Cricetulus griseus: one gene and its partners. The protein of the gene in region 1 purifies or fractionates together with the protein of each later gene. This does not show direct contact. Links are inferred from orthologs where the notes say so. Each region holds a gene or a part of one and is shown on either strand. Other genes may lie near its edges.

Evidence for each region.
Region 2: the proteins of Dusp4 (region 1) and Mapk8 purify together in Homo sapiens (affinity purification with western blotting; 3 studies listed by BioGRID and IntAct, with this or other methods). This does not show direct contact. The link is inferred for Cricetulus griseus from reciprocal best matches to the Homo sapiens genes DUSP4 and MAPK8.
Region 3: the proteins of Dusp4 (region 1) and Mapk14 purify together in Homo sapiens (affinity purification with mass spectrometry; 3 studies listed by BioGRID and IntAct, with this or other methods). This does not show direct contact. The link is inferred for Cricetulus griseus from reciprocal best matches to the Homo sapiens genes DUSP4 and MAPK14.

What each region holds. Positions count from the first base shown.
Region 1 is NW_023276807.1:50,091,053-50,099,390, reverse strand, and holds the start of Dusp4 (dual specificity protein phosphatase 4), read left to right. Parts: upstream 1-3,932; 5' UTR 3,933-4,370; coding exon 4,371-4,803; intron 4,804-8,338. UniProt on the Homo sapiens protein: Regulates mitogenic signal transduction by dephosphorylating both Thr and Tyr residues on MAP kinases ERK1 and ERK2.
Region 2 is NW_023276807.1:186,008,626-186,016,498, reverse strand, and holds part of Mapk8 (mitogen-activated protein kinase 8), read right to left. Parts: intron 3,621-7,873; coding exon 3,455-3,620; intron 1,261-3,454; coding exon 1,189-1,260; intron 817-1,188; coding exon of another isoform or gene 745-816; intron 1-744. UniProt on the Homo sapiens protein: Serine/threonine-protein kinase involved in various processes such as cell proliferation, differentiation, migration, transformation and programmed cell death.
Region 3 is NW_023276806.1:233,852,338-233,859,916, reverse strand, and holds part of Mapk14 (mitogen-activated protein kinase 14), read right to left. Parts: intron 7,463-7,579; coding exon 7,383-7,462; intron 6,339-7,382; coding exon 6,260-6,338; intron 2,670-6,259; coding exon 2,496-2,669; intron 1,222-2,495; coding exon 1,154-1,221; 3' UTR 1-1,153. UniProt on the Homo sapiens protein: Serine/threonine kinase which acts as an essential component of the MAP kinase signal transduction pathway.

The DNA of each region.
Region 1 (8,338 bases):
TCCCCAGTATATCAACAAAGAGACAGGTAATAGGGGACAGCAGGGATAGATTTATTCACTGTGGCCCCATTGGGAAGAACCAATAAAGAGAACCTGTACCACCCAGTCTGTCTTCCAGGCACTAACAGAGGTTTATGTTTATAAACAGAGAGCAAGGGGTATGCATAATTAATAGTTCTGGTCAAGCCTCTGTCATGGTCTCTGCTGTAAGTCTGTCCTAAAAAATGGTGTGATAAACTATGATCTCTTTTCAGTAGACAGTTTTCATTCTTGGCACTAGGGCATTGGCTTTTTCATTTCACTAGCATGGAATTCCTGGGGAAAATTAAGTTCTTTGGACTCCATTATTCCAATAGTCTTATAGCACAACAGTGGAATTAAGAATTCAAGGCTAGCCTCATCTACACAGCAAGTTTCAGGTCAGCCTGTGTTACATGAAACCCTATCTCATAAACTGAACCAAGGCTCTGTTTAGGCCACACTTGTGAATTCTTTTGTTGATTTCTAGGTGTTGAGTCCCAAGGCCTTCGAACTCCGGGCTTGAGGGTCAGAGGTAGGCAGGAAGGAGAGGTATGCATTTTAATTCAGTGTTTGTCAGTGTTGCCTAATGACACGTTATGGTGCCACTTTCCTGCTTGGAGCATAAGTTGGCCTCCAGGTCTTGCCAGTATTTTACTATCAGAGCCCAAATAGGTTCAAGTCAAAAGAATAATTCCTCAGGAAGCCGGGAATCCACCCAATTATCCACCACCACCTCTTGGTTATTCATTTATCACTGATTTTTTTTAAAGGTAAGTTTTATTCAGTTACTTTGGGACAGGGCTGTGAGTCAGAAGTTGGTATCAAAACCAGAATAGAAGTCACAGTTTTCTCTGGGGATTCTACTCCCGGCTTCGAATCCCCAGATCACAATACTTTCTAATTGGAAAGAAAGGCTTGTAAACAAGCACAGGGATTTGTTGGCCCCTGACACTGACTAAAACGGGCGGTCTAAGGGACTGTCTGAAGATGGATTCACATGTCAAAGTGAAATTTTAAAGTATTTCCACCCCGAGGTTTACTGCTGGATATAAATTGGGCAATCCCACCACAATACACCCCTGCCCCCCTCCCCCGAGCGCAGAAACTCCTAAACTAATTAACGCTGAAACGACATTCAAGCAGTCTTCCCCCAAATGCCTTTGTTTTCCGAGAGATTTTATTGACAAGCTGACTCACGAAGTTCCTGTGTAAACTGACTGTTTCTCACCCCTCAGTCTGCAGACCAATGGAAGGCCGGTTTTATATCTTCTCTATAGCCGGCACTGAGTAGACCTTGCGTTGTATTCACCGAACTGTGGACCAAATGGCTCGCACGCTTCCATTAAGAAAATTATCTAGGGTGCTCACACAGTATCCGGGTAAACACAACGCTGTCATTTAAGGCTCGTTTGCTAACATTCACATGACTGAGGGCAATTCCTGAACTGGGGGAAAGGGATTTTGTTTTGTTCAACATCATCTTCTCAACAAAAGCCTTTCTTAGCTTAAATGTACTAGGTCCGAAGTGGCTGAACCCCTCCAGAAACGGGCGCGCAGGCGCCCACACGCACACGTGGACACACACACTCACACGCGCCTACCTACACCCCCTGCGTGTGACTCGCCTACGCGATTTATGGGCTTCTCCGGCAGGGATTACTGTCAGGTGCAGAAAGCAGCCCTTTGTTCCGTGGGCTCCCCCACCCCCCGCCCGCCCGCCCGCCCCGGATTTGACTGTTATTTACGGGCCACGTGAGCACTGGGCTCCGGCCTGGCCGGCGGGGGGAGGGGGCTCCCCTAGCGCAGGGGAGACAAAGGCTAGCCGAGTGTGGTCAGTGCCACCTGGGGACAACCCACCAATCACCCCCATCCTACTCTTGTAACTCGTGTAAAATCGGCCCCAGACCTGGCTCGGACTGAGACTCTTTGGAGAAACGTTGTGTCAAAACCTTTGTAAAGCAGTCTGTGTGTTTCTTTGCTGCGGCAGCTGAGGCCTGGTACCCGCTGGATTTGTAAACTGCGGGGAACCCCCGCCCCCCTCCCTGCCCACAGCGAATCTGGCTCCGGCTATCGAGGCACCAGGGATGCCTAGGGCAGGGCCACCAATGGCGGGCTAGCGGGAGAAGCAGCATTAGATGTCCTCACACTCCCCCCAACCCCGGTTCCCGCAGCCAGAGAAACCGGACCAAGCCCCCTTTGCCCTCCTTACTGGTGCTCTCCCAGCCCGAGTGACCGGTGTCCCAGACCCTGCCCCAGTCAGCCTGTGTCAGTCTGTTATTGTGGCTCCTTCCGGAGCCCGGATTAGTGTGATTACTCACTCCAGGCACCAAAATTTAAGGTGCAATGGGAGTCACTTAAAATGGCAGCAACAAACTAATCCACACGTAATAATTTATCCTTTTAACTGAAAAAAAATCCATGAACAAAATTAAAAATTTAAGGCAGAAACATGGTAGCACCATTTTGGAACCTGAGGCTAAATGGAAATATCTTCACGGATGATCAGCGCCCCATACAGCCCACTGGACCCAGATCGGTGTGTCGGGGACTTCAGAGTGCTCGAGGAAAGAGTAGGTAGAAGGCCTTGGAAATGGGTGCTGGGTGTGAGCCGCTCTGCAGGGAACAAAGCAGAGGGCAAGGCTAGAGAGCTGAAGTGGGCAGAAAGGACCTTGAGGGTTCGGCCGCCCTCTTCCACCCGCGACCTGAAATGGAATACTGGTCCTCGCTACCACCAAGGCCGCGAGCGAACCCCGTAATTCCCTCGTTCGGTGATTAATTCTTGCTAACAAGACTTGGCAAGATCGCGGCAGAATAATTTTTGGCTTCTGAAAGGTCTCCACCGTGTGCGTGCACAAACCTCCCCTCTTGCCAAAAAGCCCTTGGGAAATTAAATGCCTCTGGCAAAGTAAAACCCGGGTGCGGACACTACGTGACCTAGAAAGAGGGAATGCAGAAACTCGAATCGCCTCTGAGCTTATTAAATTCGTTCAAAAGATTAGTCTTCGCATGGACACTTTCCGGCACCTTCCTTAGCACCAAATGTGGACCCTAATAGTCATTTCCTGAGAGGACAGTTCGCGTGTGTCCGAGAGGGAGGACTTCCTGCGAAGAGGAAAACGTCGGGGTGTTCTCCCCTCCCCAACCACGTAAGCTTAGGCATACCATTCGGCTAATTAACGCCCCCCTCTGGGTTGTAAAGTAACAAACTCTACACTTCTCTTTTGTTACTGGGCTTTGGCGCGAGGATCTTCCCTTTCATCTTCTAAGCCAGGGTTTGCCCATGTTCCACGGGAAACTATAAAGCTGAAATAGGCCAGGGTGGAAATCGATCACGCTAATGTAAAAACCAACGTCTGGGGAATCGCATTAAAAACAAAACGAAGCACAACCGGCACGATCCCAAGAGCAAGGTTAAGTCCTGCGAGAGGAGGTCCCAAGCTCTGTGGGTGGCAGCCACACAGCGCCCGGGTCCACTGAGCTGCAAGGAGCCAGACCTAGAAGACTGGGCCGCGGGGGTGGGGGGGATATCGCAGAGGCGAAGACCTCCAGCAAGAGAGCCCAGGCCTTGGTTAGGCCGGCGTCGCCACCCGCTACCATCTCTGCGCTTCCGCCGCGCTCCGGCGCTATAGAAGGACAGGGAGACGCGCCGCAGCTCCATTCACAAAGTCCGGGAGCTGCCGGCTCGCGGGCGGGTCGGAGGCTGCCTCCTTTTTCCTCTAGGTCTCAGTTTTATGAATGGGCCTGGCAGCAAGCACCGAGCGCCCTGTTTACTCCTCTCTTTGTGACGTCGAGTTCCCGTGACTGGGTGCGAGGGGGCCGGCCCTCCATTCACGAGCTGGGGTGGGGGCGGGGCTGGGCGGGGAGCTCGCGCGGGGGGCGGGGCCTGGCGAGGTAGTAATGACTCTTCCCTCCCCCGGGAGAGCCGGCGAGCATTAATAAATCTCTAAGCCGAGGAGGTAACTCTGGCTGGGGTAGTGCGCGCAGCTCCGGCGGGGTGTTGCGTGGAACAGCGGCGCCCGAGCGGTTGGCGGCAGGAGCAGCAGAGCTAGCAAAACACATTAGAGGCAACAAACCGAGGGTAGCCCTCTCTCGTAAACACACTCCCCTCATCGGCTACTTTCCCCCGGGGACCGCGTGCCTGCCTGCTTTGGAACCGGAGAAGGCTCCGACTGCTATGTAACGTCGAGTCTGCGGGTCGAGGAAGGGGTACGGGGAGAAGAGACTGGGGCCAAGTTTGCGGCCACTTCGATAGGCGCCCTCTTAGCCCTAGCCTGCTCCTTTCTGTAGCCTAGTTGGCCCGGGTGCCCTTGGTCTTCTCCAGCTCCCCAGCTGCTGCAGTTCCCGGCGACATGGTGACGATGGAGGAACTGCGGGAGATGGACTGCAGCGTGCTCAAAAGGCTGATGAACCGAGATGAGAACGGCGGCGGCGCAGGCGGCAGCGGCAACCACGGCGCCCTGGGGCTGCTGAGCAGCGGCAAGTGCCTGCTGCTGGATTGCAGACCGTTCCTGGCTCACAGCGCAGGCTACATCCGAGGCTCGGTTAACGTGCGCTGCAACACCATCGTAAGGCGGAGGGCCAAGGGCTCAGTGAGCCTGGAGCAGATTCTGCCCGCCGAGGAAGAAGTGCGCGCCCGCCTGCGCTCTGGTCTCTACTCGGCCGTTATAGTCTACGACGAGCGCAGCCCGCGCGCCGAGAGCCTTCGCGAGGACAGCACCGTGTCGCTGGTCGTGCAAGCGCTGCGCCGTAACGCCGAGCGCACAGACATCTGTCTGCTTAAAGGTAAACGTGGGCGCCCGGGCGCGAGCTGATGGGTAGGTGTAAGGGACTTGGCGGCCTGCTGGGCATGGGAAGAAGTACTCGAGTGACTTCGGGCTGCGGGAGTCCCCGTGAGTGTCAGTGTGCACGGTCTTGCCGTGGTTTTGAGCCCAAGTCTGGGGCTGGGGGAGTGCTGGCGTGTTTCTCCAGCCACCTGCCACCCGCACGCTTCCTAGAGTTACGTGTTTATTGACAAGAACAGCCCTGGCCTGGATGCTGGCAGCAATTGCTCTGCGCAGGCCAGCTTCGAGTGCTGAGATCGCACTCTTAAATTAAGTCCCCCAGGGACAAGAGAGGCCTGTTGGTTCGGTGTGACCCCGAGAACCCTAGAGACGGGTGAAGGAAGGTGAACGCCGAGGTGGGATCTGCCTCGAGTGTTCGTACACAATCCTGCCTTTGGTAAATGCTGGAAGGAGAATTGGGTTGCAGAGCTGGGGAGCGTTCTAATCTGTCTCCCGCTGCCCCAACTTAGAGCTTTTCTGGAAGGCGGCCAACTCTCCCTGCCCTGGGGTCCTGGAGCGGGGAGACTGGAGTGCTGTATTGGGGGACACCAGGCAGAACCGCGTCTCCTCCCGCTAATCCTGGCAGCGGAGAATCACTACCTTTTGTTCACACACCATTCTCGACTCTCTGCTGGCGGCGCGTGCCTGGTTGAAGCGAACCCTGGCCTAAATAGGCGGCCGGAGAGAAGGTGGCTTCTCAAATGTAGAAGTCAGATACCTCCAAAAGATCGCACACTGTCCTAGTCCCTGGAGAAAGGGACCGATGGCTCGCCGCACCTGCCAACCCAGCGTCTGTGCGGGCCCTCCGGCTGCGGAACCCGCGGTGAGCGCGGGGGTCGGGCGCCCCCTGCCGCGCTGCGCCCTTAGCTCCGGCCGCCGCATTCCGCGCATTCTTTCGCGCGGGTCGGGTCTTCGCTTTTGAACCCGGGAGGTATTTCGGATCCCCGGCTGCCAAGAGCCGCCCCTTTCTCTGTGGAGGCGCTTGGTCCCTTTTATTACACTTTTATTCCAGGAACCTGTCCACCGGGAGGAAGGGAGGCTGGGTGAAAAACCCTTTTCTCCGATCCCCTCGGAAAAGCACTGGGAAGCTGCTGGGTGCGGGCGAGCGGGCCCTGCGCAACAGCGGGGGGCTTTGTTCTCTGCAGTTGTTTCCTGACCGTTTGACCCGTCAGCTGCTGGGGGAAACGCTGCTGTTGACCTGAGCCTGAACTGCTAAGGCGATTTTGCTTACTTTTCTTTCTTTTTTCACGAGGGCCGCCTTTTGCTTCTCCAGGGGAGTCCTAGTCTCTCGGGCTTTTCCCTAAATCGTTTTAGGAGCGACGGCCGGGAAGACTCGTCCCGGATCTCACGATCGCCCAGCGGTCAGAGACGAGCCCTACAGGGTACCCGGAGCCCCGGGTCAGGCTCAGGTCCCGTGTTCTTCTCTCGGAGGGGTCCTGCTTGGACCCCAAGCTGCACGTCTGTGCTATTGTTCCAGCCTGCCTGCTCTTCCCAGTCGAGATCGCGCGGGTGGGAAAGGTGACACTGTATTGGGGTGGAAGTTGGGGAACTCTCTCTGGCTGTCCTGGGTTCTTCAGCCCTTGGATTGAGAAAGCGGGGCTACACCTTCCTACTCTGGCTTCGGGAGAGTCTAACTAAGCCCCACGTGGAGTCAGGGATTGTTTTGTTTTCCTTCCTGGAAAAAAATCCGTAGGGGACCGCCCTGGAGAGGCTGCTGCTGGCCTTCGTCCTGAGCGCTTTAAGGCTTCCTTCCGGGCCGCAGGCTCCACGACCTGGCGCACTGGGAGGGTTAAATTTCATGGCTCGCAGCACTCTGCAGTCGCTGATTGGGATCCGGAGACCCGGAGGCCAGACCAGTTCTGAAAACGCTTCAGGGCAAATACTGACGTAAGAAGGGGGGGGGGAGCGGAATAGGACAGGTGGCCTCTGGGCAAAATGACAGTCCTCTCCGTAATGGGTGGCCAAACGCCTGGCCCAAAGAAAGCATTTCCTTCAAGCCTTGCTTGACTGATCTCTGCCTTCCCATCTCCTTCCCTTGCTGTTTGCCCTTGCTGGGCAGGGAGGATCACCCATGCCCCTCAAAAGTCAATGTCTTTTGAGGTAGCGCTCATCTAGCCCGGGCCACAGGCCTGGACTGCTTTGTTTTCATATGTTCAGGAACAGCTGCTACCCCAACTTCATCACCACCCCTAGCCAGAAGTTCAGCATGCTGCCCTTGGGAGCAAAAGCCTAAAACGAGGGTGGGGGAATGTTGTTGCCCCTCGTTCTGTAGAGGTAGCAGAACATCTGTCAGCCAGCCGTAGTTTACGTGGATGTACATACCCAGCCATGACCTAGTCCCTCTTCCTCCTCTCTGCCAATTATTGACTGGCCTTGGTAGAGAGGGTAGCAAGAAAATGCCTGCTGTAGTCATGGGGACTAACCCCACTCCCAACCCCCGGGTGCCAGCCTAGAAGATACGGCTTGTTGGGAGAGAGTCAAGGCTCAGAGACCTGATATGAAGCCTGGTAGGTTTGTGCTTAGTTGTTAAAGGCCAGGTAATTTGGCTCAGCTGGGGTAGCCAGGGCCTCCTGCTGGTGGAGTGAGGGGGCAGACAGTGGGCAAGTGGGAGGGAGAATGGTGGGTGTCTGCCATCCTTGGGATGGGGAGACAAAAGAACGGTTTCAGAAATGGTGTCCTTCCTGGCCTAAGCAATCCATCAGTTTGTTGTTGGCCACCCCCTCTCCAGTTAGTTGCCTTGAAAGAAATCTCAGTTTTCCTATTTTTTTGTCACGTAAAAGGATGATTGTCAGTAGTTAACAGTGGATTTTCACAAGCAAGGGTTCAAAAGCAGGAATTAAACTTAGCTGAAGTATTGTTAGTCTTGTGTATCTGCTGCTATTGATCAAGGTTTGCTAAAAGTAGTTAACTAAAGTCTTATGTTTTCTTTTTGCTAGTAAAAATCATGGGAAATACTTTAACTTAAAATCCTATAAGGCTCTGGGCAGTGGTGGTGCACACCTTTAATCCCAGCACTCGGGAGGCAGAGTCAGGAGGATCTCTGTGAGTTCAAAGCCAGCCTGGTCTACAGAGTGAGTTCCAGGACATCTAGGACTGTTTCATAGAGAAACTCTGTCTCCAAAAACCAAAAAAAAAAAAAAAAGAAAAAAAAAGAAAAAAAATCCTTTAAGGCTTTTTTGGGACAGTTACTAAAATTAAGTTTTTCAGATTTTAATCTCAGCATACATCTTTCAGATTCTTTCCTTCCATAACTGTTCCTAGACTTTTAGGAAAGCCTGGTTTTTAAAATAGAAATTTCTTACCCTAATAGCAATAATTCTTTACTGCTAGTATCCCCAATGTCACCCATTAATCTAACACACACACACACACACACACACACACACACACACACACACACACACACAGATTTCAGCCTGGTGTGGTGGATGTCTATGATCTCAGTAACCTGGAGGCTGAGGCAGCTGGATTACAAACTAACTAGCCTGCTCCACACA
Region 2 (7,873 bases), about 140 Mb from region 1:
AACAGAAGTAGCATTTTCTTCTGCCATTCTCAGGTTTGCCTATGTTTACTACGTTTGTGTAACACTAAAACACATGAAAATGACACCAGTATCTCAGTATGTTATAGACTAGGGTTTCCTGGTCTTGTTCCTTCTATTCTTTATACTCCAAACCTCCAAAGACAAATGTCCCAAACACTCTTAGAGTAACATGGTGAATATTCTCATTCCTCCTAAAACAATTGTGCTACTCACTGATAGACACTTCACTGTTAGCATATATATTAAAAGTTGATGAACTAAAAGCATGAAGCCCAACAAAGGAAACTTCTTGCTGAGAATCTCAGCATGTTATGTTAATGTAATGAGACAGTAAGACACAACATACACAACAGTAACAGAAAGACATGGGGGAACCAAACAAAAAGATAGATAGGAGCAACAAATAATTCTAAAATTCATGCTACCTTCAAAATAGTTATAGACTTACTCAAGTGTTAAAATTTTTTAGTGGAAGCCATAATTTTCTATGTTAATCAACTCAAAGCCATCAAAAAACTATAATCACACTTGAGCACTTTTCACAGTTAACAAATGCAAACAATAAATGAGAAAAAGGGAAGTCTATGTCAAGTAAGAGGTGGTATTCTGGAAGAGTAATTTAACAATACTTTTTATTAGGGAGAGACAAAATACATTCCACCTGACACGGTTCCATACAGTTTGACCTTTAGAAACTACGTTTTAGGCCAAAGATAAGGATACGATCTGTACCTGGGAACAAAACACCACCTTTGATCATTTCTCCCATGATGCACCCAACTGACCAAATGTCAACTGAAAACAAAATGCAATGACATTAACATAAAGATTTGGTTAAAATAAAAAGAAAAATATATAAACATTAAAATAAAACACACACACCATATACACTTAAAATTATAAAAAGCAATACAAAATAAAAATGAATGACAGTGAATGTGCTCTGACTACCAGCAGAGACTGTATGTCCTGCTGCCAGGTGCAGCCTACAAACACTTCAGTTTCTTTGCTCAACAGTTTTTTGAACTATAACAGCCACAAACTTTACATCTATTAAAAAAAAAAACCTGTATGTATGTACAAATGTACAATATATTCCTTTTCATTAGCAAACAGAAGGAAGTTCATCACCTAGCTAAGTAATTTGCTGCAGCAGCACAAGGATACAGTCCCTTCCTGGAAAGAGGATTTTGTGGCAAACCATTTCTCCCATAATGCACCCCACAGACCATAAATCCACTATATGTTTGCAGCACAAAAGAAGGAAAAGCAAAGCAAAAGGTCATTAAAATCAAAGAAGCATAATATGACTGCATTATCTAAAAAACTGCAGAACATCACAAAGAAAGGTGGTTTGAATTTCAAATAATGGAATAATTTAAAACACAAAATGCTTTTAGAAAAGCTTTGAATCACAAAAGAAAATATGGAGTGGCATTTTAATTACATATCTAATTTTAAAGTGAGAGCTATGCACAGAAACTGGATAAATTAAAAATATACATTTTATAACTGTGAATGTTTATAAAATGTAAAGTAGAGCCAAACAAACTATAAAGTTAAAAATGTATATGAGGTCATAAAATTATAAAAATAAGATGCACTATTTTGAGGTTTAACTGTGCATTTTACTCTCTCTTTAAGTTAAATTTTAAAAGCACAAGCAGAAATAATCTAGCATATTAGAAACAGAATGTCTCTGAATTTAATAAAATGTTAATCTAAAGTTTTCCTCAGAAAATTTCAAACTACATTTCACAGGCTTATTGAACTGAAAAGGCTTTGTTTGTATGTTCTGAATTAAAAGTCAGTCATTTTCTTCGCAACTTCATTTTACATTTATACCTAACCTCTACCAAAAAAAAAGGACAAATGCAGAACAAGAACAGCTTATCTGTTAAGAAACCTTGGTAAACACAAGTGTTTTCAAGTTTTTTATTTTAAAATACCAAAGTACCTACAGATTTGTGATCTATAAAGAGTCTCCTAGCAGATCACTGTATTATAAAACTTGCTACAAGGGGATGAATTTGCTATCAGGCAGCTTAAAATAGATTACCCCAAACTTTTTAAAGCAATCTGAGGTTCTCTTCTCTCTCCCCCTCTCTCTGTGTCTGTGTGTGTGACAGAGAGAGAGAGAGAGAGGATAGAGAGAGAGAGGCACTTAAAAGAGGACATCTGTATGTCATCCCCTGCTGCTAATGGTAGTTATGAAGAAGCATTAGATTTGACTGGGCTCCTGGGGGAACAGGCAGGAAAAGCAATGAGATGATCTATGTGACTGATCTGAGAGGACAATATGTCAATTCCTTTTTTTTTTGGATAATTTTTTAATTACTTATTTTTATCTTATGTGCACATGTCTGTATGAGGGTGTCGAATTCCCTGCAACTGGCATTAGACAGTTGTAAGTAGCCATGTGAGTGCTGGGAATTTAACTCAGGACCTCTGGAAGGACAGCCAGCGTTAAGCACTGAGCCATCTCTCCAGCCCCAATATATCAATTCTTGACAACAGCATCTCTAATTTCTGGTAAGGAGCTATGTCAAGACCATATTTACAAGGATACCAACACGTGGTGCAATTTATATAACCAAAAGTTTCACAGAAAAGCAATTAGCAATATGCTTTCTAGTTACCTGAAATGTCATATTTCAAAACAAAACATTTAAATCTTATGCTGAGACTAAGAAAGCAGAATATCCTGTTTGTTTAAATAAACTGATATCTAAAATATTTGTTTTTAATTAGCTCAAAAAAGAAAAGGAAATTAAGCAAGGACCTAAATTTCAACAGTATCATTGTATGTATGTATGTATGTATGTATGTATGTATGTATGCATGTATGTACATATGCATAAAGAATCTTCAAGACTGACAATAATTTTCTGATTCAAAGTGAACCACTGTTCTAATTCCCTCCCTAGAAACACATTAAAAAGTTTAACATATCCACACATAATAATATATTCAATTTCCTTAAGGCTGGACACAGGATTTTATGCAACACTATTATTTCCCACAAGAGGTTGCATTATCCATTAATTTTTCAGAATTGAGCCTTTATGTAGCTCTCAGTTGATATTGAGTGTTATTATTAACACTGACTAAAGGTGTTGGAGATGAGAGCAAATATGACTACTATACACTAGAATTACTACTAAGATTAATTAAAAGGTATATGCTCATGTTGAAGTTACAGACAAGCAAAGGGCGTAAGTTATGGTTTTAGAATTCTTTAGGAGTAGGACTGATGGAAAGTACTCACATTTAAGATAAGACCCCCATGCTTTCCCAAATATGTATGGTAAAATGCTCAGATTCTTGATATACATTTGAAACATGGTTAATTCCATGCACTTCAATTTAAGTACAAATATCTTACTGATAAACTAAATCAAATGAGTATTTCAAAGTGAAAATATATGCTGACCGTTCTCCTTGTAGCCCATGCCGAGGATGACCTCTGGTGCTCTGTAGTAGCGAGTCACTACATAAGGCGTCATCATGAAACTTGTTCCTGCAGTCCTCGCCAGTCCAAAATCAAGAATCTTCAAAGTGCAGTCTGATTTGACTACTATATTACTAGGCTTTAAGTCCTTCAGGAAATAAACATTAAAATGATTGCTAAGACATATATACAAAGGTTTCACTACTCAACTGAACTACATAATCTGTTAAACAGTTTAATTGTTCACTGTTTTCACTGCAATATAACTACAGAGATTCAATACAAATAGGCAAACCCAAGAAATCAGATTGAAGATATTTTCATTTATATGAACATAAACCCAGTATGAAGTCAGTAAAGCTCTATTTCCTAGAGATCAGTATTAGCTAGAAATTCTTGGTCAAGTAGAGCAAGAGATTTGGAAAGACATCTTAAAGCTCACTTAAGATCTTTTGTGTGGGGCTGGAGAGATGGCTCAGTAGTTAAGAGCACTGGCTGCTCTGACCTGGGTTCAATTCCCAGCACCCACATGCCAGCTCACAGGTGTGTCTGTAACTCCAGTTCCAGGGGATTCTATACCCTCACACAGACATACATGCAGGCAAAACTGCATAAAAGAAATAAAAAATAAAACAAACAAAAAAGACTTTTGTGCTAGGCATAGTGGCCTATCCTTTGTAATCCAATTCTTGATACCAAAGCAGAAAGACTGGAAGTTTAAGATACACAGTGTACTGCTTAGTTTTTTGTTAACTTGACATAACAAGCTAGAATCATTTGGGAAGAGGGGACAACAACTGAGAAATTGCTTCTAACAGAACAGCCTGTAGACAACTCTGGGGGGTACTTTCCTAATCAGTGATTAAACTGAGAGGGCCCAACCTACTGTGGGTGGCGCCGTCCTGGGCAGGTAGTTCCGGTTGTTTAAGAAAACAGGTTGAAAAAACCATGGAGTTGCAAGCTAGTAAACAGCACTCCTCTAGGAAGTCGGCTTCAGTTACTAATCCAGGTTCCTGCCCCGAATTTCCTCAAAGATGGACTGTTACATAAGATGAAACAAGCCTTTTCTTCCCCAAGTTGCTTTTGGTCAGTTTTATCACAGCAATACTAAGCAAATTAGGATACATAGCAATACCCTGTGTCTTAAAATACCAATCACAAACAATAAAAGAACTACTATGGTAGTTCTTTACTCTCTACTATGGTAAGAGTCATAAATTAGCATTTATATTCATCTGCATACTAAATTAATAGCATTAGAAATCTCATCCTAAGGTCACAATGAGCTTTTTATCACTTTAAACCCACTATGAAACATTCTGCAAATAGTCACGTGATATTGACATAACCTTGGCATATGTTATTGGAACATTCATAGTTATACATGTTTGCTTTTATGGGGAGAAGGCTTGGGATCAACCCCAGTTCAATAGACACTCATTCTAAAGGACCAAAATAGTGACTATCAGCCTGCCCATTCCTGACTTCCCACATAAAATCACAAATATTTGCTCATAAACATTTGTCCACATGTAGCACACATTAGTGTGCTGGGGCCACTGGTCCATAAAATTGCTTTCTGCTGGTAGTACTAAATAATGTCTTTGTGAAAAACTGCCACTTGGCTCCAGCCAGAAAGAAATCTGTTTAATGCCTATTAAAATGAAGCAGTGGCATAAATACTCAGGGCTTCACATTCATCATGCTTTTGCCTGTTAGCTTTAATGAACTCTCATATCCACACCACAATCACACTATCTCACATGCACAGATGAATAGCAGATACTAACACCAAAAGCAAAGACCCCTTTAAATGTCTACATGCAGGAATTGCTTATATGCTGTTTCTAACAGGCCATCATGCAAAGGCTTCGGGAACAGACTCAGGACTTTAGAAAATTAAGAATATTAAGAATATAGAGTTATTACAGCATAAGATAAATGCCATCATTGCTGTTCTGCAAATATAATGTTGCTAATACTTGTGAAATATAAAAAAAGTATATAAAGCAAAGGAATGCCCATTACAAACTTTAGTATCACTTTCATGTCTGCTGTTACAGCTGGAGATTACTGGTTCTAGTCTAGCTGGTTCTAGTCTAGAAAAAACGCAAACACTTTTTGTTCTGGAAGGACTATGAACAAATACAATTTTTTTTTTAAAGAAACAGTTTAAGAAAATAAAGTGTCAAGAGTATTTGGCTCTAAGAATATTAACTAAAATTCATCTTTATATTGTTAACTACATATGGAAGAGTGACTTGGAGTTTACATTTGTGCAGAGAGAGTAGAAGTACCTCAACATTCAATTTTCCTCCCCAATTTTCTAAGCCTCTCCAGTCAGGCAAGGTGGAATGAGTAGACCTAGTAGGTAGTATCTTAATGGGAACAAAGTGGAGGAAGGCCTCCTGTGGCTCTTCTTGCTTTGGTGAGTAAGAACACTCCAGGTAGTGGGCTTTCTTGGCACCAGGATTGTTCAGCATTTCTATAAAACCATGTCTCCCCCCCCCCCCCCGCCCCCATGATCTGCTTGTACACATAATATGAGAAATAAACCTTAGTTATGTTTAGTTAAGAGTCTGATAATTGTTATTGTACCTGAGCCTACTTCAAGTTGAGTATCCCTACTCTGAAATCTGAAAGGCCCAAATTTAAGTCATTTTGAGTATAACTGACAGTACTTAAAAGGTTGTTATATCCACTTTGATGTCTATGCTAAGGAAAACTTAACGGTAGACTCAAATTAGTTCAAGGGTACAGGGTCCATCATGTCAGAGCTTTGATTTTCAAGAAATCTGTATTTCTAACTTTCAGATTTAGGGATGCTCTAAAGTAAAGTCTATGAAAATATCTAAAATCTAAAACATTCCAAATCTGAAACAATCTGGCCCCAAGCATTTAAGATCACAGACAACCTGTGCAAGAACACAGGGCCATGAGCTGGTGACTGAACAGCACTGAAACCAGTAACAAAATGGAGAGAGATCCTTATTATGCAGATGCAAAAATATTTTTTTATGTCATCTGCACAGGACTTGCAGAATGAACAGGGGCTGACAATTGAAAGCCTGAGTGCATTTGCAAAGTAAGTTTTCTGTGTACTTAGACAGCCCTCTTGTTCCACATTATCTATATGTGCTTTTGTGATAGAAGGGCAGAGTCCTCTAAGTAGCTGTGGCAGAGACCTTAGAATGTGGTCTTTACATAAACAAGTTCTTGAATTCCTGCTCTAGAAAAGGTTGGAAAGCAAACCTTTGTCTATTGGTGGCTACTGGCTCCACTGGAAAGAACTAGCCACATTGTAAGTAGAAATGGAAGATAATAGTGTCATTATTTTGGATAAGCTAAATGTTCCTACAACCCAGAAAAAGCTGACAGATGGTATAGTTCATCCCTGGACCAAGCATCATCCTTTTATATGCCTATCCTTGTTTTAGTTAATGGAACATCAAAGAATGTGATGCTCACCAAATCTGAAGAGAAATTCTGGACATATTCGAGTTAACATAGTTTCTGTCCTTTTACCTTATACCATGGGAAAACAAGGTCCCTGGGAAGTAAACCTGAACCTGACCCAATGTATGGAACATAGCCCAATCCTGAGGCTCCTGAGCAAGCACTGTGCTGTTTCAAGCCATGGATATTCTTGGCATGTTTCTATACACCATTTCCCATAACAAATCTGAAAGTCTTGTCAAATCCTCAAATTGATGATATCAGTCAGTCTGTCCAAAGAAGCCTGAAAGTGTGAAGGTAGACTCAAGAGAGCTTCAAGTAAGTCCAAGAATACAGAGCCTGCCAGCTAGTATGTTTTAAAAAGACATACAATTATAAAGCTACACTTCTTTTAGTTGCTGATAAAAGCTTCACTATGAAAAATAAAACTCTGTTGTCAAGAAAGCTGCTGAGCATCTTACATGGGCAGGACAGCAACAAAGAAACTTTCTGCTCCAAATGTCAATAAGATACTTGTGCTCCTGTCTTTCATGGGTAGGAAGCAGGTAAAGAAAGCTGAGCAGCCAGAGTCCACAGCTTTCAATACTTACTTGAGATGTATTTAAGAAGGAAAGGAAGATTCCCATGGGGAGCAGCCAGGTAATGTGGACAACAGTGGACAGACTGTACTGTGCAGAAATCAGATTCAACTCCTAATGAGTAAGCACTCCCACCTCCAGAGGGAAGACCACTTACAATGTCCATTCAGCAGGACTTCAACTGCCAACTAATCAACCACTGTTTCTTTCAGTTTTCCAATGAGATTGCTGTGGCTACCCTGGCCCCATCTGATTGTTCTACTGAGGGAACTCAAGGAGAGGGAAGACAGAGCCAGTTCCTATGTTTTTGTGCCCAAAGGATCAGTGTCTGAATCTGATACAGATATCAATGTGTGTGCCTGTTAAG
Region 3 (7,579 bases), on another chromosome or scaffold:
ACATTCTTAGGAGAGGCCTCTTTTCCTCCCCAAACTGGTGACAGTCAGATGGCAAGAGTTCAGGTGCTCTGTCTGTCTGTCTGTCTGTCTGTCCTGCATCTCCTTGCACCACAAGCACCTGGAGGATCAGTTGTGTTCAACACAAAGCAGCGCTGGAGTGAGGAGGCAGTATTGTGCCCATGGCATCAGCGGAGGCAACGTGGACAGGAACTGCCAGCAAGTCCCCACATGCCTGGCAGTCCCAGGGCTTTCCGAAGAGGACAGACAAGGGGGCTGTGGAAGCTCCAAGGGCACAGCATGCAAACACACCTGCACTCTGCCAGATGTGAAGAGCACACAGGAAGCGGCTGAAGGCAGGAACCTGCGCCTGGTACTGGGGACCTCTGCACTGAGGTGAAGGGTAAGCATAGATTCCGCTTGCTCCTGGGAGAGGGAGGGCGGCCACACATACATGCTCCTGCACACGTACACAAGTACACAAGTATACAAGTACACACACACACACACACACACACACACACACACACACACACACACGCGCGGCTTCCCTGAAGGCTGTCTTGTTTCTTCTTGCTCACCACTGGCTACCCACCAACCCTGTGCGTTCACCTGGCTCAGAACATGAGCAGCTGCGGTTCTCTGTGTCCTTCTCTGTTTAAGGCACAAACAGACTGCCGGCTTTGAACACACCTGTCAGGCTCTGAGGACCATCCTAAGCAAGCCAATCACAGGCTAGAGCTCAGGAGCCAGCTGGTCTCTTCTGTATGCATGGCTGGGGGATGGCCTGTCTGTGCCACTGTGGTGTATGGTAAAGGTGGGGCCACCGGAGAAGCCAGAGTGGCAAAAGTGTAACTAGGAACAGGGATATCTTAACATTTCTTACTTTGCACTTAGCATACCCCTAACAAGACAGCAGTTCCCATCTGCCTGCCCAGACTGAGAAAGCACTACCACTCACGATGTCACTGCTAGCACAGTGACTCCAGCCACAAAGACAGACAGACAGACAGACAGACACTACACGCATACATGCATCCCTTTCCACCATGAAGGAATCTTTCAACAAGAGGCACTTGAATGATATTTGGAGAGTTCCCATGAGAAGGCCTTCCCCTCACAGAGAAGTGGGGTCGACACAGCAGAAACCAGGTGTTCAGGACTCCATTTCTTCTTGGTCAAGGGGCGGTGGCACAAAGCTGATGACTTCATCGTAGGTCAGGCCTATGACAGGAAAGAAGGGCAAGGTGTGAGACTTGACAGCGCTGTGTTTGCCTGCAGACACTCGTCACTGCCCAGAGCAGTGTGGCATCTGCACCGCAGTGGAAGACAGTCCTGGCTCTGGGGTCTCACTGGAGAGCTGGCCTTGTGGTTTATGAAGGAATCTGACACTGGACAGGGAGATGTGACTCCATTCCAGGCAGCCCCTAACGAGGCCAAAGGTGAGCTATAAAAACTCAATTGGAAAACTGAAAATACATCGGACCCTACTTATTCTGAAGAGATGCTGTGAGTGAGCCCCTCCCTCCCCCCCGCCCCTCAAAGCTCTGTGTCAATGTGAAGAGCTGTGCACTGTGAGCATCTACACACTCCATCAGGGAACACACGCCCTGAAGGCCCGGGCTGTAAGTTTAGTGAGCTGGCAGTAACTGTTCACAAGGGCTTTACTGAGGCAGACTCTCATATAGCCCACGCTGGCCTCAAGCTACCTATGTTGCTGTGAATGACATTAAACTCTTTTTTTTTTTTTTTTTTTTTTTTTTTTGAGACAGGTTTCTCTGTGGCTTTGGAGCCTATCCTGGCACTCGCACTGGAGACCAGGCTGGCCTCCAACCCAGAGATCCGCCTGCCTCTGCCTCCCAAGTGCTGGGATTAAAGGCGTGCGCCACCAACACCCAGCAACACTAAACTCTTAACCCACTTTCTGAGTGCTGACCCACAGGTGTGTACACAACACTAGGCTGCCACTGATGAGTCCCTATTTTCCCAAGCCTTTTTTGATAAGTGAGAATCACCCGGAAAAGATTTTTTCTTATTTGTTTTTTGAGACAGGGTTTCTCTGTATAACAGGCCTGGCTCTCCTGGACCTTGCTTTTTAGACCAGGCTGGCCTCAAACTCACTGAGATCCACCTGCCTCTGCCTCCCAAGTGCTAGGATTAAAGGTGTGCCTCACCACTGCTCAGCCCAGAAAATATTTTTAAAAATAAGTTCTTGGGCTGCGCATGTGGCTCAGTGGTAGAACACGAGTGTTGCACGTGTGAGGCCCTCGGTCCAATGAGCTGCGTTGGTGGCACCTACCTTTCAGCACTTGGGAGGCAGAGGCAGGCGGATCTCTGTGAGTTCAAGGCCAGCCTGGTCTACAGAGCTGGTTCCAGGATAGCTAGGACTGTTAACACAGAGAAAAGTCCTGGCTCAAAAAACAAACAAAGCAACCAAACAAGAATAGATTGAAACCAAGCTCCCTTTGAGACCCACCCTAGCCTGCCTTTGAACTTACTTTTCCACTCATCTATAAGGAGGTCCCTGCTTTCAAAGGACTGGTCGTAAGGGTCAGCCACAGGCTCATCATCAGGGTCATGGTACTGAGCAAAGTAGGCATGTGCAAGGGCTTGGGCTGCTGTGATCCTCTTATCTGAGTCCAAAACCAGCATCTTTTCCAGCAGGTCCACAGCTGTCACACAAGAGGAAAAATACAGAGTGAGTTCCTGGACAGCCAGGGCTACATAGTCTCAAAAAACTCAAACGAAACAAAACACTCCAAATGAACAAAAACAAAACAAAATCTACTCCCCCAAACCAGGCTGTGAACAAACTTTTTTTCCAGTGTCAGGGCCACACGGTGACAACTGAATGAACTGTACTGAATGGAGGCCCCCTATGGCCAAAGCCTGGAGGTCGACAGCTAAGACCATCTACAAGGCAGGTAGCTTGATTGTAGTCTATATTAGCATATTAGTATTACATACTAGCATAATATAAATATTCACCCAGAATGTCAAACAATAGCAAATTGAAGGCTTCCCAGAGGGTCGCAGAAGAAAAGGTACTACATAAAGATATCTGATCCTTAAGACTTTCACTGTGAAAATTTGGAATACAGAAGCAGGAGGGGCACCCATGACCCATGCAGGGGCATCAGTCAGTCCACATCTGACATATTTCCCCCATTATTTCTGTGTCGCTCCTGAGTTGTTTTAAGGTTATTGAGATGACACTTTATACCCTAAATATTTCAGCACACAGACATCATCCTGCGTGACCAGAACATTGTCTTTAACCCCAAACCTGTCTGTGGTAAAACATCTCCATCACAGCTGTCTCCTACATTTGTTCAAACTGGGACTTCCTTATGGGGCTCTCTTTTCTCTAGCCTTTCTGAAACCAGCTGACCTCAGCCTTGCTATGTAGCCCAGGATGGTCTTGAACACATCTTCCTCAACACTGGGATACAGACAGGCTGTATCACCAGCCTTGCTTCTTACTGGCTCTCCTCTGACGACAGACACTGCAGATGTGTTGCAGGCGGGCAGCCATCGTCTATCACAGGCTGCCACTGCTTCTCTGTGCTCTGATGGATGGACCCCTCCCCACCCCGCTTCCTATATTCTTTACATTTATCAAAAGCCAGAATTAGACCTAAGTCTTCGGTAGGAACAATGTCAGGCACACTGGTCAAGAACACGTCCCAGGTGATGTTCTGAACTGGTGGGCACAATAGCCAGTGGAGCTAAAGGTGACTGGCATCTTGAGATCTTTCCCCTCTCTCCCCAAGTGAGTAATCTGGGGGAATATTTTGGTTCCTGGTATCAGTTACTTTCAATAATGGTTTCAGCATTACTGATTTTTCCCTCCCCAGAGCGATGACCTCATTAGAGACGGAGGCACAGAGCTGTCTAATTCTGAGGAGGAGGATGTTCTGCTTGGGTAAAGCCATCCTAAGCAGTTATCAACGAGACAGAAAGGCTCTCAGACCCCAGGGTTCTTTCTTTTTAGTTCTATGAGCACAGCAGTGCATGCCTGCTGGCTGAGAAGGCCAGAAAAGGGCACTGGGTCCCCTGGAAGAGTCCTCTCTCCAGCCCCAGATAATTTCTTCACAGTGGAAGGCTGTGGGTGCTAAAGAGGAGAAAAGCTTCCTGAAGAGGTGATGTCCCTCTGCTTATCAGAGTGATCATGCATCTTGCAGCCTGAACTCCACAGTCACCCACAGAAGCACAAGCTTTGAGGGTACAGAGGAAACAGCAAATAAGCATATGTGGGCTCAGATTCATGAGTCACCTCACGCTTTAAAGAGGGGCTGGGATGTAACTTGTAGAGTGCTTGCCAAGTGTGCACAAGGCTTTTGATTCCACACCCAGCAGTGTACACACTGGGCATGGTGGTGCACACCTGTAATCCCAGCATTCTGGGAGGCACTGGCTGAACTGCCTGAATAGACAGATATTCTTTTCATGTTCATCTACAAATCTGTTGATTTCATACTGAACACAAATGGGTGGGTGCCTGCCACCCTACCTTAAAAAGTTACACTATCTTAGGACCAATGCACTTAGATGAGAACAGGTCAGAAGCAAGGAAAAGACATCTCAAGGATCTCCATAGACGCCAACACTAAGATCAAAGGGCGGTGGAGCTCTCAGGTGTTTTGAGAATAGCAGTGATTCGAAGCCAGTGACTGAAAACAGGGCTGTTAATATTTATATCACTGCTGTGTGGTTCAGCTAGCAAGTTGGGGACGACTAGCTATGGGTCACAGCATGTTCCCTCTGCCACCAGCACTTGGCAATGCGCTGCGTGTTTGGATTGAGCAGGCTGTACTGGGCACCAGATTTTACTCCCCAGCAGTCTGGACTGACTCATGGGAGCTGGTTCTCGTCTGTGCTTAAATAGGGACACATATCAGGATGTGTGTGACTTCCATCAAAGGCAGAAGAAATCCTTTTGAGGCAGATAAGAGGGAGTCAAACAGTGTGCATCTGAAATGTGAGGTGCGAGGGGTAGCCTCATTCTCTATCCCCCTAACATCTGGAGAGCTTACAGATCACACCTCACACACCGCTACCTGGGCACTGTAGCTCACTCATGTCACAGAAGGCCCAGTGAGAACATGCCAGGGAGGCCACAGACCCAATCCAACCCTCAGTACCCTGCACTCCCGAGGCCAGAGTGAGGCAGCTTAGGCTGGACTCAGTCCTCCAAGAGTTCGGGCACCTCTCCAGCTACAGGATCACCACAGCCACGTTTCTGTACTGTGGCTATGGATGACATTCTTGAAGGGAAACAGCACCTGCCTATCCCACCTTCTGAAGCCACTGCCATGGCCATTAGCTCTCCAAAGACAACAACTAATTCTAGAACCATATCCCAGAACCAGGGATATGACCCACACAGACTTACCAATTGCCGTGATTTAAAAACAGGTCCACAGTTACACCTGCAGGGATATGAAGAGGTGGAGCACGCCAGCGGCTACACCCCTGCACTCCCCTCCTACTGCAGGGAGACTGTGGTCTGGCCCTTCTTTCTGGGACGACTACTCCACTGTCACGGAGCAAGGAACCAGAGCCTCAGCAAACCATCCTGGGCCATCGGAAGCATGGGTTAGCCTCCAACTTTAAGGAACAGTAACTGGAGTTTCAACTAAGGCAAAACACATCTTTTTTTTTTTAAGATTTATTTATTTTATGTCCATGTGTGTCTGTGTAAAGGGTGCCAGATTACCTGGATGGAATTGGAGTTACAGACAGTTGTGAGCTGTCATGTGGGTGCTGGGAATTGAACCTGGGTCCCCTGGGAGAGCAGCCAGTGCTCTTAACTGCTGAGATGACAAATTAACTCTGAAAAGGCTGCTGGTTCCGGCCATGAAGGGCCGAGAGAAGAGGAAAGGCGGGAGAGCCAGCCTGTCAGAGTGGAGGGCAACAGCACCCAGTGCTGGGCACGAAGTGCCATCTGTGCCTCTGCATCCTGTCCTCAGCCTGGCCCCACCCGTCCCCAGGAGCTGTGAGGAGCGTGGCTGGCTTCTAGACCTCCTTCATTCTTCCTCATGCTCCCATAACTCCCTTCTGTTTTCTGTTCTTTGCTGCACTTGTCCTTTCCACCACCATACTCCATGACCATATAAATATACAAGCCCATCGTATGGTTTTTGTTTAAATGTGACAGCACAGACACTAACAGCCATTTATTAAGACCCAAAATAAACTTAAAGAAGAACAAAACTTCAAGTCCCCAATTTACCTCACAAAATGAACGTGACCAACTTACCCAGGGGGTTGGCGCCAATAAACACGTTTGCAAAGTTCATCTTCGGCATCTGGGCCAGGGATTGAATGTAGTTTCTTGCCTGTGGAAACAAGGATTTTCAGAATGACCGCTCAAAGAGTGTCAGCAAGCAGCCCAGTGGCTGCGCTGAGGCCTGCCCCATTCCGGTGTGGATCACTGTCTCAGATGCTAATGTCAGACTTACTCTTCCAGCCCCTTAACGCCTCTATTTGTGATCACTGACTTTAGTCTCGCTGTCTCCCCCAGTTCTATTCACATGGGTGAGACTGCTAACCAATCAACTACCCTTCCATTAGTTTTCCGATCACAGGGTCAGAAGCTTAAAAACAGAACCTTGACTTCTAAATCTTTTCCAGCACTGCCTTCCTAACCAGCTAAGTTTAAAGAAGAGCTAGCCCTGCAGCAGAGACTCACTGTAATCTGAAAAGTTATGGGAACAAATACACATGGTTGTAACCATGCAGACTGGAAGAAGGAATGGAAGGAAGAGAGAGGTAAGAAGACCCATCTCACCCAGAGAAGCCATCCTTCAATATAAACAAGTACATTGAAATGCAAACAAGGCTGCCAAGGGTTTGTCTGTTTGCTAACCTGGTTTCCCAAAATGCTAAGGGTCCTCCAATCATAAACTGGAGTTAGGTTAAATGGTATGAACTGAAGAACCTGAAACTTACTGCAGGCTTGTATCTATTATGAATTGCTTGTCTTTCTACAGCACACTAATTAGCATAAGGTATTTTATAGTGTGTGCTGCATACAATCCTCTCTCAGTCATTAAAAAACGGATGGACAGGAAAGCAAGCTAATGGACTCTGCCCCATGCACCTGGGACGAAGCTGTTGCACACCCTAACTACAGACACCTACAAAGACATACAGTGCTCAAGCACAAGATTCAGAAACCAAACATCCCTACTTACAAGCCTACTCTGTGTGGCTGCCTCAGTCTGCATGACATTTTATCCCAAATGTCAACATCCTGCTAGCACACAGCCAGTCACTGCCCCAGCAGTCCCCAGGGCACATGCAATAATCAGGTGACATTAGACCCTACAGTGAGAAGGTGGCCTGAGTTAGACCTCCCTGAATGTGCTGTTTGCTCTCACCTCATGGCTTGGCATCCTGTTAATGAGATAAGCAGGGGGTGTCCCCGTCAGACGCATTATCTGCTGAAGCTGGTTAATGTCTTAGGTGCCTAGTCAAGGGCATTGGTAAACACACCGTGCAAAAGTCAGCTCAAGCTGTGGTTTTGTTCTTAAAGTCAAAAAGTCATCCCCAAACAAAACAACTCCATTTCCCACCT